2 linked regions of the Mytilus edulis genome follow. The protein of the gene in region 1 purifies or fractionates together with the protein of each later gene. This does not show direct contact. Links are inferred from orthologs where the notes say so. Each region holds a gene or a part of one and is shown on either strand. Other genes may lie near its edges.

What was found.
Region 2: the proteins of cytoskeleton-associated protein 5-A-like (region 1) and SLAIN motif-containing protein 2-like purify together in Homo sapiens (affinity purification with mass spectrometry; 4 studies listed by BioGRID and IntAct, counting the BioPlex papers as one, with this or other methods). This does not show direct contact. The link is inferred for Mytilus edulis from reciprocal best matches to the Homo sapiens genes CKAP5 and SLAIN2.

Annotation. Positions count from the first base shown.
Region 1 is NC_092350.1:28,387,740-28,395,414, reverse strand, and holds the start of cytoskeleton-associated protein 5-A-like, read left to right. Parts: upstream 1-4,256; 5' UTR 4,257-4,382; intron 4,383-6,697; 5' UTR 6,698-6,715; coding exon 6,716-6,772; intron 6,773-7,266; coding exon 7,267-7,460; intron 7,461-7,675. Other genes in the region: DNA-directed RNA polymerase I subunit RPA43-like, read right to left, coding at 1-16, 3,937-4,127. UniProt on the Homo sapiens protein: Binds to the plus end of microtubules and regulates microtubule dynamics and microtubule organization. Acts as a processive microtubule polymerase. Promotes cytoplasmic microtubule nucleation and elongation. Plays a major role in organizing spindle poles.
Region 2 is NC_092351.1:65,362,530-65,370,058, reverse strand, and holds the start of SLAIN motif-containing protein 2-like, read right to left. Parts: upstream 3,320-7,529; 5' UTR 3,205-3,319; coding exon 2,924-3,204; intron 1-2,923.

The sequences.
Region 1 (7,675 bases):
AAGTACTCCATCTGTCCTATTAATAGAAGGTTACACAATGTAAATATATGTATGAAGTATTGATCTATGTTTGCTATTTTAAACTCTAAGAATGATAATTGAAACATTTTAAAGAAATTATCAGACAATTAAAGCATCATTGATAAATGTCTTTAAATGTTTAACAAGTTTTACTACTTTTTTTTTTTACATCTGTAAAACATACTGAGGAGGGTTAGGTGAAACCATCATTCTTTTTTGCATTGCCTAACTCGAAAATGTTATAATGTGATCTATAGTTGTTCACCTTATGTCATTTGGACTATTATATTGAATTGTGTCTTTGGCAATCATATCACATCATTTTAATTTAATACATGTATGTACATGTTGTAGTATTACTAACACAACATCTATACCAGGGGCGGATCCAGCCATTTTAAAAAAGGGGGGTCCCCAACCCAGGACAAAGGGGGTTCCAACTATATGTCCCCATTCAAATGCATTGATCAGCCAAAAAAAAGGTGGGTTCTACTCTGTTGCATTTTGTATGTGCCTGTCCTTAGTCATGTTCATGAGTCTGTACTTTTTAATAACTCAGTGGTTGTTATTTGTTGCCGTTTTCAATATTTGGTTAATTTACATGAATGTTGTCGGTTCTTGTTTGATTCTTTTTACATTTGTCATTAGTGCCTTTTAGCTATAAGATATTGGCCATGTTTTTGTCATTGTTAAAGGCCATACAGAACCTTTAGTTGCTTTCTTCCTTATCATTTAATCTCTGGTAAAAACGTGGCAATTGTACCACATGTTCTAATTGACTGAAAAAACTAAAATTGTTGCCACTTAAATTCATTACCGGTATTAGCGAAAGAAATAGGACAATATAACTTCATCCATCTTGTTTACTTTTTACAGGATTCTCGGATGTCACTTTACCTAATCAAACAATATTCAAAATTCACCTTGAATTTGTCATGAGTTTAAAAAAAAATCAATTATCAGCTGTTATTGTTTAATTTTATTTTTTCTGTGCACTTATGCAATGTAATCTAATAATTGGGGACAAAAGTGTATTAATTCAAATGGACATCTAAGTCCCATATTACAGTAGAAAAATCAATAATTTTTTTTTTTAAATCAGAACTCAAAAGCGTTAACTTTTTTTAATTCACACATCTGCGCAGAAATTAAAATTCTTCTTCCTTTTTTCGGTCTCGTTTTCGTGGGACTTTGAGTAAAATATATTTTTCAGTCAAGTAAAATATAGGAAGGAACTCAATACCAATTTCATTTTTAATAGTTCTTTGATATGAAAAAACGTTACCTGATGATTTCATATCTTTGTTTACATTGAGTATGAGGTCAAATAATGTTACAACTAAAATCCAAATCAACAGAACAAAAATCAGAAAAGTCAAGGTATTTCCGTTTCTTTTTTTTAAACAGATTTTAAAGTTAAACATGTTAAAATTATGTTTGAATTGAAAAAAAATCATAGACTTCATCCCCTTTCACAGGTAATGCCTGCCTCAAATTAGTTAAAGTTGTGACTGAGTTCGGAAATACGAAGAAAGATTTACCATGTTTCTGGGACTATCATACTAACAGGACTGGAAACCATTACACCAATCAGAATATCTAAATCACAGTCGTTAGAACGAGACTTTACCTGCGCTATTTATGGATACGCCATATTGATTTGATAGTGAAAGCGTGCCTTGATCTTATAATTTCTGAAATTATTTTTTTTATTTTATAGTTATTAGAAATGATAATCCTTAATATAATAAAATTGAGAATGGAAATGGGGAATGTGCCAAAGAGACAACAACCCGACCATAGAAAAAAACAACAGCTGAAGGTCACCAACAGGTCTTCAATGTAGCGAGAAATTCCCGCACCTGGAGGCGTCCTTCAACTGGCCCCTAAACAAATATATACTAGTTCAGTGATAATGAATGCCATACTAATTTCCAACTTGTACACAAGAAACTAAAATTAAAATAATACAAGACTAACAAAGGACAGAGGCTCCTGACTTGGGACAGGCGCAAAAATGCGGCAGGGTTAAACATGTTTGTGAGATCTCAACCCTCCCTCTATACCTCTAGCCAATGTAGAAAAGTAAACGCATAACAATACGCACATTAAAATTCAGTTCAAGAGAAGTCCGAGTCTGATGTCAGAAGATGTAACCAAAGAAAATAAACAAAATGACAATAATACATAAATAACAACAGACTACTAGCAGTTAACTGACATGCCAGCTCCAGACTTCAATTAAACTGACTGAAAGATTATGATTTCATCATATGAACATCAGGCACAATCCTTCCCGTTAGGGGTTTAGTATCATACGATCATAACATATATGAGAAGAACATAACCCGTGTCATGCCAACAACTTGATTACTATAATGATAAAAGTTACCTCGATCTTTAACAGTTGTTATTAATCACTAAATCCGCCTTAAGTGTAAGAAATAACAAAAAGATTGAAATTTTCAGGATGAAAATGACGTGGGAACGATGTGGAAAAAAGGAGATGATTAATTAAATTTCTTATAACTTTTGATTGAAAAGAGATACCCAAGTTGGGTTTGTTGTGAAATCATATTCATAGGTTATAGTTTGGATTTGCCTATTTTTATTGTCGTTTTAAAGTGACAAGTGGAAAAATATCTCTTTCTCATTACAACCGGAACCCACATGCACGGCTTAAATAAATTTTACTGTTCCTACAAAATTGCCTACTCCTTTTTAAGTGTGCAATATTTTATTATAATCAGGGTTAATTTTGCTTAGTAATGGTCTTCAGGTGGCATTAAGCATATGACTTCGTGAAAATAGACTAGGTTCCACAATTACAACTACAAAAGTAGGCCCGATGATGCACAGCCATATTGAAATTTTGGTGTAAACACGAAGTTCACAAAAGTTTAAAACAATGTGGCTATATTTTCATGAGACCAGGGTAACTTTTGTTATATGAATTAATTAGGAATTGAAATTGTCAACATTGTTTTTATTGCACACATATTGTTTTCATCAGGATTATTTATGATCTGACAACCTTTGACACGTTGTTATCTTAGCGGTCAAGTAAAGTGCTGCATTTCGACTATATCTGGTTTATCATGTTTATTTTCAACATTACTATATTGACTACTTCTTAATATTTTTTCGTAAACAATATCTGGTTTTTGCATTAAACTAATTAGCTTATTACAGGGTATGAAATTAGCAGAGGCCCACAGGCCAATGGCCCCTCTAATTTAGTGTGGGCTGCTTAAATTTCTGCTTTTCTTGTAAATTAGACTATATTTGGGCTACAAACTTTAAGCTGTGGGCTACAATTGCCAAAGTCTTAAGTTCTATCCCTGTTTAATAATTATTCTTTATTTCAAGTCCACCAATTTTAACTGTTTTTCTATATATATGCTGACTTGTTTGCCGAAATCTATTGTTTACATGTACCGAATGCTAATTTACTACATGACACAATACGCTGTCAACCAAAACAAAAATCAATAATCCGCTATTGGGGCAATGAAATCTCAACAGATTGTTCAGTTTGCAGACCCTTAAGTACGGTATAATAAATTTATAATACACCTTATCGCTATTTGTCCGCCATTACTGCATATCACACAGGTTCATGTAAAATTTTGACGTCATAAAACAATATATCTGACGCAACAATGGAAAAGTGATTGATGTATGCTCAAAAGTTCAAGCGGCCGGGTCAGCTGGGATTAGCAATAAGATGTATAGTCCCAGCCATGTTTACATTCGTAATTTGGACTCTGTAAATTCTTTCCCATTTTTACAGTCTCAATTTTTAAGGTAAAAACAAGTTGTAACTGTAGAAAATTTCATTGCAAAAAATAAAAGTGGTCCACAGAAAATTTTCAAAAAAAGGGGGGAGGTATTCAAACCACTTCGAGTTCTTACCAGCTTGCAACTAACTGCAGTTCTGAGTTGAGATGTTCTCTCACTCCTTGTAAAATACTGTTGAAAAACTTCGGGGGTAAAACAATATGTCGCTTAGATGAAACTGCTTCAAGATGGGAAAAAGAACACTTTGAAATTAGTGATTTTGCCTCGGAAAATGTCAATCGTGTATGTTCCATGGAAGCTGCCATTTTTTTTTCTAGAGTTCGCGAAAGTGTGTGACAAAATTTGGCTTTGTGAAAAATTGGTCAATGTTGAATATTTTTTTTGAGTTAAAAAAAACCCTAAGAATATTGATGTATAAATACTATTCTGAACTAATTAAAGTAAAATTATAAGTTAATCCAAGTTTATAGATGGCGCCACGAAACTTCCGGTTGACCGAAATATTTACCATTCAAATCCAGCGCTCATATGAGATAACTAAATATTTATATTGCATATATGTAAGTATGCTTTTGATTTGATCCCTACCAAATCACCACTTGAAACTGTTAGGATAAATTGCTTTGATATCCCCTTTTGTTTTTGCAGGTCCCCTTTTTTCTTACTTGTAAAGTTGCCAACTGTCATAATCTGATGTCAGTGATTCATAATATATGTTTACTGTCAGATCATGAAATGAAATAAACTCACAACATTTGCAAATAGCAATATATGTTGTATTTTCTCCTGGAGAGGTGTTGACCTGATTTGTTATCCGCCTTATCATACAGTCTATAGCCTATAGTCTATACACCTTATTGCTATACACCTTATCGCTATTTGTCCGCCATTGCTGGAAATCACACAGGTTCCCGTAAAATTTTGACGTCATAAAACAAAATGTCTGACGCCACAATGGAAAAGTGATTGTTGTTGACGTCAAAAGTTCAAGCGGACGGGTCAGCCGGGAATAGCGATAAGGTGTATTTGTCCACCATTACTGGACATCACAAAAGTTCTTGTAAATTTTTTACGTTATAATAGAAAATATCTGATGCCACAATGGAAATAGTTTGAGAGAGACAGATTCTCTGTTCAGTCGAGAATAGCAATAAGGTCTATTCCCAGCTGAACCGAAAATTTGTATTGCTTGAACAATTGACGTCATACAACAATTACTTTTCCATTGTGGCGTCAGATATTTTTATTATGATATAAAAAATTTACAGGAACCTGTGTGATGTCCAGTAATGGCTGACAAATAATTATGACATCTTGAAAGGCTATTATACTTTTTCGCTTTCACGCCTTGCACGTTGTGCATTCTCATTGCTTTGCTGGGTTAGACATGGGGGATTCAAATGAATCTGAAGGAGAGAAGTTTTTTTTAGTTTTAACATTTTGAGCCTTAGGCGCTGTTCCCTTGTTTCGCCTCAAGCTAAGCAATTAAAATTCCTGAGGTTTAAATGATAGAGATAAAAGCAATTATAGTTAACTTATAACCCTACAGTCTACAGTAATGAAAAAAAAAAAAACTCATACTTTATATTCATGAAAGGCCTAGACATAACGATACATAGAGAATAATACATGGCAAAATCTGTATCATATGTCGTATCATCCCGAGACATCAATATCAGCCCAAGGGCCTTTAGGCCCGAGGGATGATATTGGTCGAGGGTGATACGGCATGTGATACGGATTTTGCCATGTATTATACGCTTTATCATATGTTTCAACAGAATAGTATTATATTATATGAACTGTTTTCTGATCCATAGCACTGGGTTACCTTCAGTTCTACTTTTGTCTTGTTTCAAAGGCTTTCAAAAGTACTGCTCAATTACTTATCCGAAGCACCTGGGCTACCTTACAATTTGCGTGCTGTTGTTTAAAAAAAAAATGTTTATTATTGTATTTATTTGTGTGTTTTGTATTTTTTATAGTTGCAATTAGTGTGCCAAAAAATATGAAAACTTGACGTTCGTGACGTCAAATACAATATGAAAACTTGACGTTCTTGACGTCAAATACAATATGAAAACTTGACGTTCGTGACGTCACATACCAAACAATGACGTCATTCAAAAAATTGACCTATTTTGAGGAAAATTTTTCTTAAGCAAAAAAAAACAAACAAAACTGACTTTACATGCTTCATATAAAAAAAAAAAAAAAAAAAAAAAGTAGGGGTGTGATAAAGGGTAGAGGTGTGATAAAGGGTATGCGATAAAGGGTATGCGATAAAGGGTGCGCATCAGAGTTGCGCGATATGGATTAAACAGCAGGCTATTTATCAAATATGCAAAACTACTGTATTTACTACTTAACATATGATAAAAACAATAAAACTTTAAATTATAATAATATTAATGTGTACATGGTATACTGTACAATTTATGAAAAACAAATAATTTGAAATATGAACCAACAACAACCACTGAATTTAGGACTCAAACCTTGAGACAGTATAAACATAAATAATGTGGTGAGGTTAAACATGTTTGTGAGCACACAACCCTGCCCATGCCTGGTGTTGCATCACAACATCAGAACAAACTGTAAAAAATATTTTACTTAATAAATCAATATGAAGCACAAATAAACTGTAAAAGCACCTAGCATTGAAATACATGTACCCTCCCTGATTTCATGTTCTGGAATATGTCAGTCTTATTGACATATTGATTATTAATCACAGAGTTGTGTCATTGAAATCTTAATATTTACAAATTACGATAGAATCATATTAATTACATGTAAATATCAGTATATTCCTTCAAAGCAATATTTTTTTTCTAACATGTGTAAACATTCATGACATTGTATTTTCCAGGAGTATTATTAATCCATAATGGGAGATGACAGTGAATGGCTGAAACTTCCTGCTGAAGAAAAGTGCCAGCATAAGGTAAAATTAAACTTTACAAAGATATAGGTCATGTAGGTTATGCATGTTATATATACATATAAAATTTATGTTATCCCAAACTAAAACAAAAATTAGTGCACATTCAACAGAGTTAGAGTAACAACATCAAAAGCAATCTTAGAAAAGCATAACTTGGTCATGTTAGCAGGTTAGTGCAATGCCAGTCTGCACCAAATTCTTTTCCAACTACAAGTCAGATGACCAATATTCAGACAACTTTCTTATGTTTATAAACAAATATTTACAAATACTTACTATTAAAAATGATATTCAATTAGTCTTGGGACATCCATCTAGTGGTTAACACTAAATGGTGTAGACTGCAATGCCAAAACTATTAGTATCATTTTACCTTATGAAGGATTCAAACTGGCTTGGACCTGAGTTACCTACCAATTGGGATTGAAAGGGAAGTGTAAATGGAAGCTTTAGTGTTACAGGAGGAAATTAACTTATTTGTTTTTGTATTATAGACATGGAAAGCACGTCTAGCAGGATATGAAGAAGTTACAAAGATATTTAGCCAACAGACTGATCCCAAGTCTCCTGAATTCCAGCGCTATGCTGGCCTTATGAAGAAGTTTGTCACTGATACCAATGCTGTGGCTCAAGAAAAAGCATTGGATGCTGTTCTAGCATTTGTAGAGAATGCTGCTGTAGCATCCAGGTTTGATCATTTTTGTATAACTACAAGATAATATTTAGTTTTATATCACCATTCTATGGTATCATGACATCTATGGATTTATTGTGATGTTTGATAGCTGTCTTGTTGACAAAGGCCCTAAATCTGAAATATCATAAATACTAGATTTCAGTTCAGAAATTATTTTGTTTCATCATATGATTGGTAAAATTAGTATCTTACAAAATTTCTTTGCA
Region 2 (7,529 bases), on another chromosome or scaffold:
AAAATATGCCCTTTTCATATTATCATATCGCGCGTTAAATGCCCTTTTTCAGGATTGGCACCCTGCCCTTTTGAAAACCTAGCTGGAACACTGTATATAATATTCAAATGGCTTCATCCAAACTGGACATCGAGAAAGTGAATTTCTCAAGTTGTATCAGCTTGGGGTTTGTTTTTCTAATCATATCCTCTCAATTGTTTTCAAATGGTAAAATTCATTACTGTAGAATTGCTGCCTTACCTATTATTAGTTCGAAAAGGTTATAATTAATACTTCAAAGCTTCTTCGGTGTTCGTATGGATAGCTATGGTAAGCCCGGCAAATGCTTGAAATGGTAATAAAACCCTGTGTTTAAATCGCTTTTAAAATCATTGTTTGTTCTCAAAGTTCGCTAAACAAAATTTTGAGTGTCGTCGGAAAATGCAGTCAATTTATTTTATCGCATTTCATTCATACATTTGTATATGCCTCTATTTACAATGATTTATTCTTTAAATTAAAACAATAGATGTCAATGTTGAAATCTTTGTTTATTTTCATCTTTCAAAGTCACCATTTTGTAAAATTTATTAGACTGGTTCCACGGTGTTACTTAATACAATGGAAATAATTCATTTAGAAATAGAAAACGAGTTGATCATGTGATCTGAAGTGAAAAATAAGCGGGAAATTTGAAAAATTATGATAATTACGAAAAAAATATAGCAACGCGCTTGAGTTAGATAGCACTGCGGTCAGTGCAATAGAATAGTGGGAAATTGTGATAGCGCTGATAATGGCAGAGCTAAAACGGCCTGGGGAGAACACTGAAATATCATTGACCTACCACTAGTGGTTCTCCATAAACTGACCTAATCACAAACTAAAACATGAAAACTAACCAAAATTTTTAAAGTCATTGGACCATGACAGAGGGTGCAGGGCCAAACAATCCGATTCTCCATGGAAATGAGATATGCCAATGCTTATGCAACTGCATACCAATTATCATTTACCTACCACTAGTGGTTCCTAAAGTGCCCTAATCACAAACTAATACATGAAAAACAAATAAAATTTCAAAGTCAATAGACCATAACTGAGGGGGCGGGGCCACATAATTTCCATGGTGATGAGATGTGCCAATACTTATCAGTGGTCTCGTTAGCCCAAAATAGAAGGGCGCCGCGCCCTGGGTGCCCTCAGCCGCGCCCTGTGTGCCCTCAGTCGCGCCCTTCTGCCCTGACGCCGTTTTAAAAAAAAAACCCTTGTGCCGTTTTGGTAAAATTGCCTTTGTTTCATCGATTTCTTATCAGAAGTTGAATTACAAATATGACACCTGGAGATTGCCCCCAGGTAATGAGGTTTATCATGTTATTACAATTAATTATTGTGGATAAGACTTCAATTAAAGGTGTTAATTACTAGGTAATTTAATTACGACAATGTACCTTTTTGTCATAAATATGATGAATGTGTCGGCATTTTCTTTCGATCTTCAAGTCACAATGAAAGTGTGTGCGAATGAAGACTTTCATGAATTTAGAATTGAATTGAAGTAATCAAAATAAAACTATGCCTTCTGACACAGAAACATCGTACATCTCAACTTGTGAGCGACAAGCAGACGTAAACATGGAAATTAATTTTGGAGTTATTTCCCCTGAAAATGCTTATTACAAAATTGTGCCCCTAAAATATTATCTAGTATTAAAAATAGGAAAAAATAACCAATTGAATACAAAATTATATAAGAATGTTACCTTAAGGATATTAACTGTCTTTGAACATACAAAAAAAAATATATTGCAATTTATTTTTGATAATCATACTTTTGGCAATCCATGTTTTATTTATTCTCAATATAGAAATATGAACTATTATTTTGTTTGAATGATGTCCAACCTGTCATGTTACTAAAATGCAAGTGTGCAGTAATACTCTCATCACAAATCAACTTGATGAAGCTATACTAAATAAGATATTCTTATACACGAACAATAAAAACAGGTTTTGAGGGCCAAGCTCTAGATGACATTTTGAAATACAACTTCTCTGTCATGTACATGTATGGTAAACTATGAGATGTTTAGTTTATGTTCTTTCTTTTGGAAGCAGAGGGGGTGGGGAGAATAGTAAGTTTATTTTGCCTCTTTTGGTTAATAGTATGAATGTGTATTGCCATGTATTATGAACATGATATAGTATGAATGACTTTTCTTATGCAAATTTTATAGAATAAATAATCAAAACAACAACTTTATAAATGCATCTTTATTAACAATATATACAGTAAAAAAATATGTGAACTCGTGATACACGCAGGGACGTAGAAAAAAAAATGAGCAGTGCCTTCTCCTATCATAAAAAAGTGCCCTGCCCTCCCCTGGCACCCTGCCCCTTTTGAATTCTAGCTAGAGCACTGCTTATACAACTGCATACCAAATATCTTTGACCTACATTGTACATGTACCACTAGTGGTTCACCATAAACTAGACCTAATCACTAACTAATACATTGTTGACGCCGCCACCACCGAAAACAGCATACCTATGTCTCGATTTTTGACTCCTTTATGCGAGACAAAAATGAGAAGGATTTTGAATGTTTGACATCGATTTTCATCAACCTGTAGATAGATTTTAATTTTACCAGGCATAATTCTTTAAATTTGTCTATAGTTCTGTATGAAGTTGTTCCCAGCATGCCATTTTTACCGTATTTATAAATGCCTAATTCGTTAATGGTTCAGTAAATGAATTCGGTAACCGTTACCGAATTCATTAACCTTACCAAATTTAGAGATTTCCAGAACTTGTAATGCTACTTTTGTACAGTTGTAGTGCTGTTGTTTCAAATATAGAAAGAAAAAAAAACATGTCACAATGAAAACATATGACAGGACTGCAGGATGATGAATAATTTCTTATACATTTGCCTTACCAACTGTCTTCTTCATCTTTCATTGAAAGATTTTCGATATCAACCAATTCAGAATCATCGCCTGATTCAGCAGGTTGATTCTTTAGATTTAAGGTGTCGGGAATATTGTTATTATGATGTAAAGTCAATTTCCCATGTTCAATTTCACCGTTCTGTACGTTTTCTGAATTGTTTTTTTGTCTAGAACGAAGCACTTCATTTTGCTTTTCAAGCTTTTTGACTAGATCTTGGAGTTTGCGAACTTCCGCTTCTGGGTCTATCGATGAATCTCCGCTATCCATGGTTATTGGACATTAGTTTTATAGTCAAATGACTTTGTAAAATACAAAATTGAACACAGTTGGGACACACTTCATATCTTGGAAGCCATTTTGTGTTTAGTTTAAACACGCATGCGCAAATGGTAACTTCCGTTTACATTTTCACTCATAGATTGCTGTGCGATCACTAGATTCATTATGAATCATTGGCAGGTGCGCAATCCTTTGATCTCTTGATTAGTATTAATTATCGATTAAAAATGATCCGGTTAGGAATTATTTTTGCGAAATATCGTCCCAAAGAATAATGAATAAACCGACCTATAGACTGAAAATTTAGCAAGTTGTATAATGAGTCTGTATGAGTTCTATAAATGTCATAAATCGATCTGAAACACAATCTGAAGGCTATGAATTGCTAATTATAGCCGTGTATTCATCTTTTATTACTTTTTTGTATGAAGTATCATTCTATAGAAAGTGCGAATCGAGAAACCCGTTTCTTATATAGAGTCGAGATATTTTCTGATACGAAATTTTAAAAATATATATGCAGACACTCCATGATGAAAAGCAAATGCATATTAATTTTGCTTATGTACAACACACTTGGGATAAAATGTTCAAACCTCATGTATGTACTTTATCCTTCTGAATACGTCTATATGTTAAAAATTCCTTCCGAATGTCAACAGTCTTCTCAGATTTCTTATGTACACAAGAAAATATCGCTACTCCACATAAGAAACGGATTTCTCGATTGGCATTTCCCGTAGACTGAGTCTACGAACTCCAACAACCATTTAGGTATCAGAATTTTATTCTTAGGTAAAAACATAAATTTTCAATTTTATCAAGGTTACGTTCAAGTTTATATAAGCATATAGATATGATATAAGCCACGGTAAACTAAACCAGAGACGTGTATCTACTATAATATGTCACTGATTATTTTTAAACAAAAGGTGAATGAATTGGCAGTCTAGTATTGAGAGACGATCGTGAAAGTTCTGGTAACGGATCGTGAAAGACATTTAATGTACATTCTAATTCAGAATCTTTGAAAAAAATCGCTTAATTTTCAAAACGCGGAACAAATCCGAACAAAAAAATATGTCTGTCAAAATGGTTTAACTTCCTCAAAATAACTGTGAAAACAGATAAAGAAAATATGAAGTACTTTTTGAAAAAACACAAAAGGCGCAATGTGTGTCTATGAAATTAATTACAATAACACGCTTTTTGTACCTATAATGGTCATATTTCAGAATATCATGATATATTTGAAATTCAATCTTTGGTTTATCTGATAGTACAGTAAAATTAAAGTATGTTCTTCCATTAAAAGCGTTAATTTATTTTTATGAAAACCTTGAATTTGTTTAATTTCCATCAAACTTGATCGTGAAAGATCAGGTATCGTATTGACGTTATGCACGGTATTCGGTCTATATGTTTCATTTGACCATTTCTTGATGCATAAGTAGGACAGGAACAAATCAATTATGCGTATTATCAAATAATTACTTGTCTTGGTTCATCAGTTTAATCGATATTAAATAAAACCTAATTTTAAAATATTTAATTTTATGTATTATTACATAATTTAGCAATAAGTCCCGTGTTCATAATGCCATTTTTGCCGTGTAAGACGTAACAACAATAACTTACCATACAAATATAAACGAAAAAAAATAATCAAAAACTATTGAATGGATTACGATGAAATTCAAACAGGTGGGATATAATATGATCATATGCATGGTGTGGAACGGTTACGATAAATATCATGTCAGTTCGCATTCTATAGTGGCCATTTTCGAAATTCCATAAAGCTGTAAGATTTGAAAATTCGAGTATACAAAAATGAAAGCAAGCACTTCGATATTACAATATTTTCACATAAGTCATAGAAAAGATTCGACACCTCTACACGCAAATGTAATTTTATTGAATTTTACGAACACTTATTTATTTCTAACATACTAGCTTCTCTCATTTTATTTTTTTTTCAATTTTTTCCGTGTCTCCCTTAAATGTTACCATAGAGCCATTGTTTAAGATTTTTCAGTACCATGCTAGTTTAGGGTATTTTAAATTTGTGACAGACAATTAAACTATGAAAACAAATGTTACTACTGAAATGTAATTTTTTTAATGATTGGTCTAAGCCTTCAATGTTAAGCAAACGCTAAATTTTTCATCAATTTCCATCAAGTTGTCCATGTCTCCCCAAAATGTTACCACGTCCAAATTGAACGTTTTTTGCATGGAACGTCAAAGTAACGTATATATATTTAATTTTCCATAGACTAAAATTTAAGCATTTTTGCCGGTGTCTTAAGCATTTGACACGTTCTGTTGAATGATATATTTTTGAGAGAGATTTCAAATATTTATTCTAAAATGTAATAAATCAACACGAAATTTGACTTCCATCAAAGTTTTGTAAACCATGTGCTGATTTTAAAGGCGTCGAAGTTTTTGATAAATGATAAGTTTTCTATAATACCGAACCTTTCGACTTTGGCCTTTCTTTAGTAAAAGATATGTTTCTGCTAGTACGAATGTTTGTTACATACACTAACAGTTATTTCCACGCATCCGACAAACTGACGCATGTGAAAAATACTGATCCTAATACTTCGAAATATAGAAGTTATAACCCTAAATTGACAAATTTAATTATTCTGTTTTCATTTTAGCCTACAATTTTAAAAGCTATAATAGTTAGAGAAAAACTTTAAACTGTAACATTGACCAGCAAGACAGGTTCTACAAATAAGTTTGCCTGGTCGAAATGATCAGTTGACTATACTTATTAGAGTAAATTGCCCTTTGATAACGATCTCCCATTTTTTTTAAAGACCTATTTCCTTGTTTTTAACGAGACATTGTAGTCGATACCAATTCTTGAACATTTCTTTTAATATACGATGACTGCATGGTCGAAAACCCGAAAATAATGACCTATTACAGTACATGTCTAGTCAATGCAAGTGCGGATCAATGATGTGCAAAAAGGACAGGCAAGCCACACGTTTTGAGTAATACTTGTAAAATGTCCATGTATGGTTCTGCTTAGAAGAAATATTATATGTCATTGACATGTTGATTAACAGCAACAGTAGAAGAATGTGTATACTAGAATCCAGTAACAGCATTTTTTTCTTTTAGAAATTTCAAACACGGCACAATGTGGCGAACTGGAGATAATGGAGGAGAATGATATGACAAACATCTTAAGAAACACAATAAAACATGCACAATTTCAGTGATTTAAAATTCTGCGTACCTCGAAACACCGTCCGACAGTTTTGACGTTTCTGAATATGATATGCCGACCATATTTATTATAGATGTCATGCCCGGTAGATAGCACTGTGATAAAAAAAAAACATCTGAAATACATGTATTAGATAAAATATTCGATAATTAGTTGTGGAGGTTGAGTCACTTCCTAAACATCAATTAAAAAAGCTGTTTTAAAATCAAACGCATACTGGGTACATTTTCGAAAGCATAATGCCATTCACTTTATAAAATACGAAGATTAAGACTAGTATGAATGCCAATGAGACAAGTATTCAACAGCAGAAAACAATCTAAAAGAGAGAAGAAAGACATAAGAGGGACAGTCAAACACACAGATCGAAAACAAACTGACAACACCATGGCTAAAAATAGAAAAACCCAGATAAACAATAGCACAGAAGACAAAACATAGAAAACCAAAGACTAAGCAACACGAAAACCACCAAAAACTATGGATGATCTCAGGTACGCAGGAAGGGCAAGCAGATCCTGCACCCGTCGTGTTGCTAATGTTATTACAAATCCGATAAAAAGTCTAATTCGGTAGGTCACAACCATAAAAAGTGGAGGGTATTGTAATTGCGACATAAGGAACATATCCGATATCAGCTGTGAAACGGTTATTCCATAACGGTCAACCAATTCTTGATGGCGTCCGTATAATTTAAGAAGGGATGATTTCAACTTCACCATTTGGAACTCTTGGTTTAATAGCTTCCTTGTGAGCAGCAAGCCTCAATCAAGGATATCATGAAAGGAAATACAAGCCAGCAATATCGTATCAATTGGGAGATTTATACTCCGTATGCAGGCGCTGCTGGAATGTTGCTACATAGAAATGGAAAGTTCACAATTGGGAAGCTGAAATCATCTCTTTTGTCGTAAAGTTTTGTTTTCAACCGATCGTCATTGTCAATTTCTAAATGCAAGTCAAGATATTAGGCAGACTTAACTGTATCTGTAGTATTCTTTATCTCAAGTTCGATGGGATAGATTCGTTCAACAAAGACATCAAATTTTGTATTATTCAG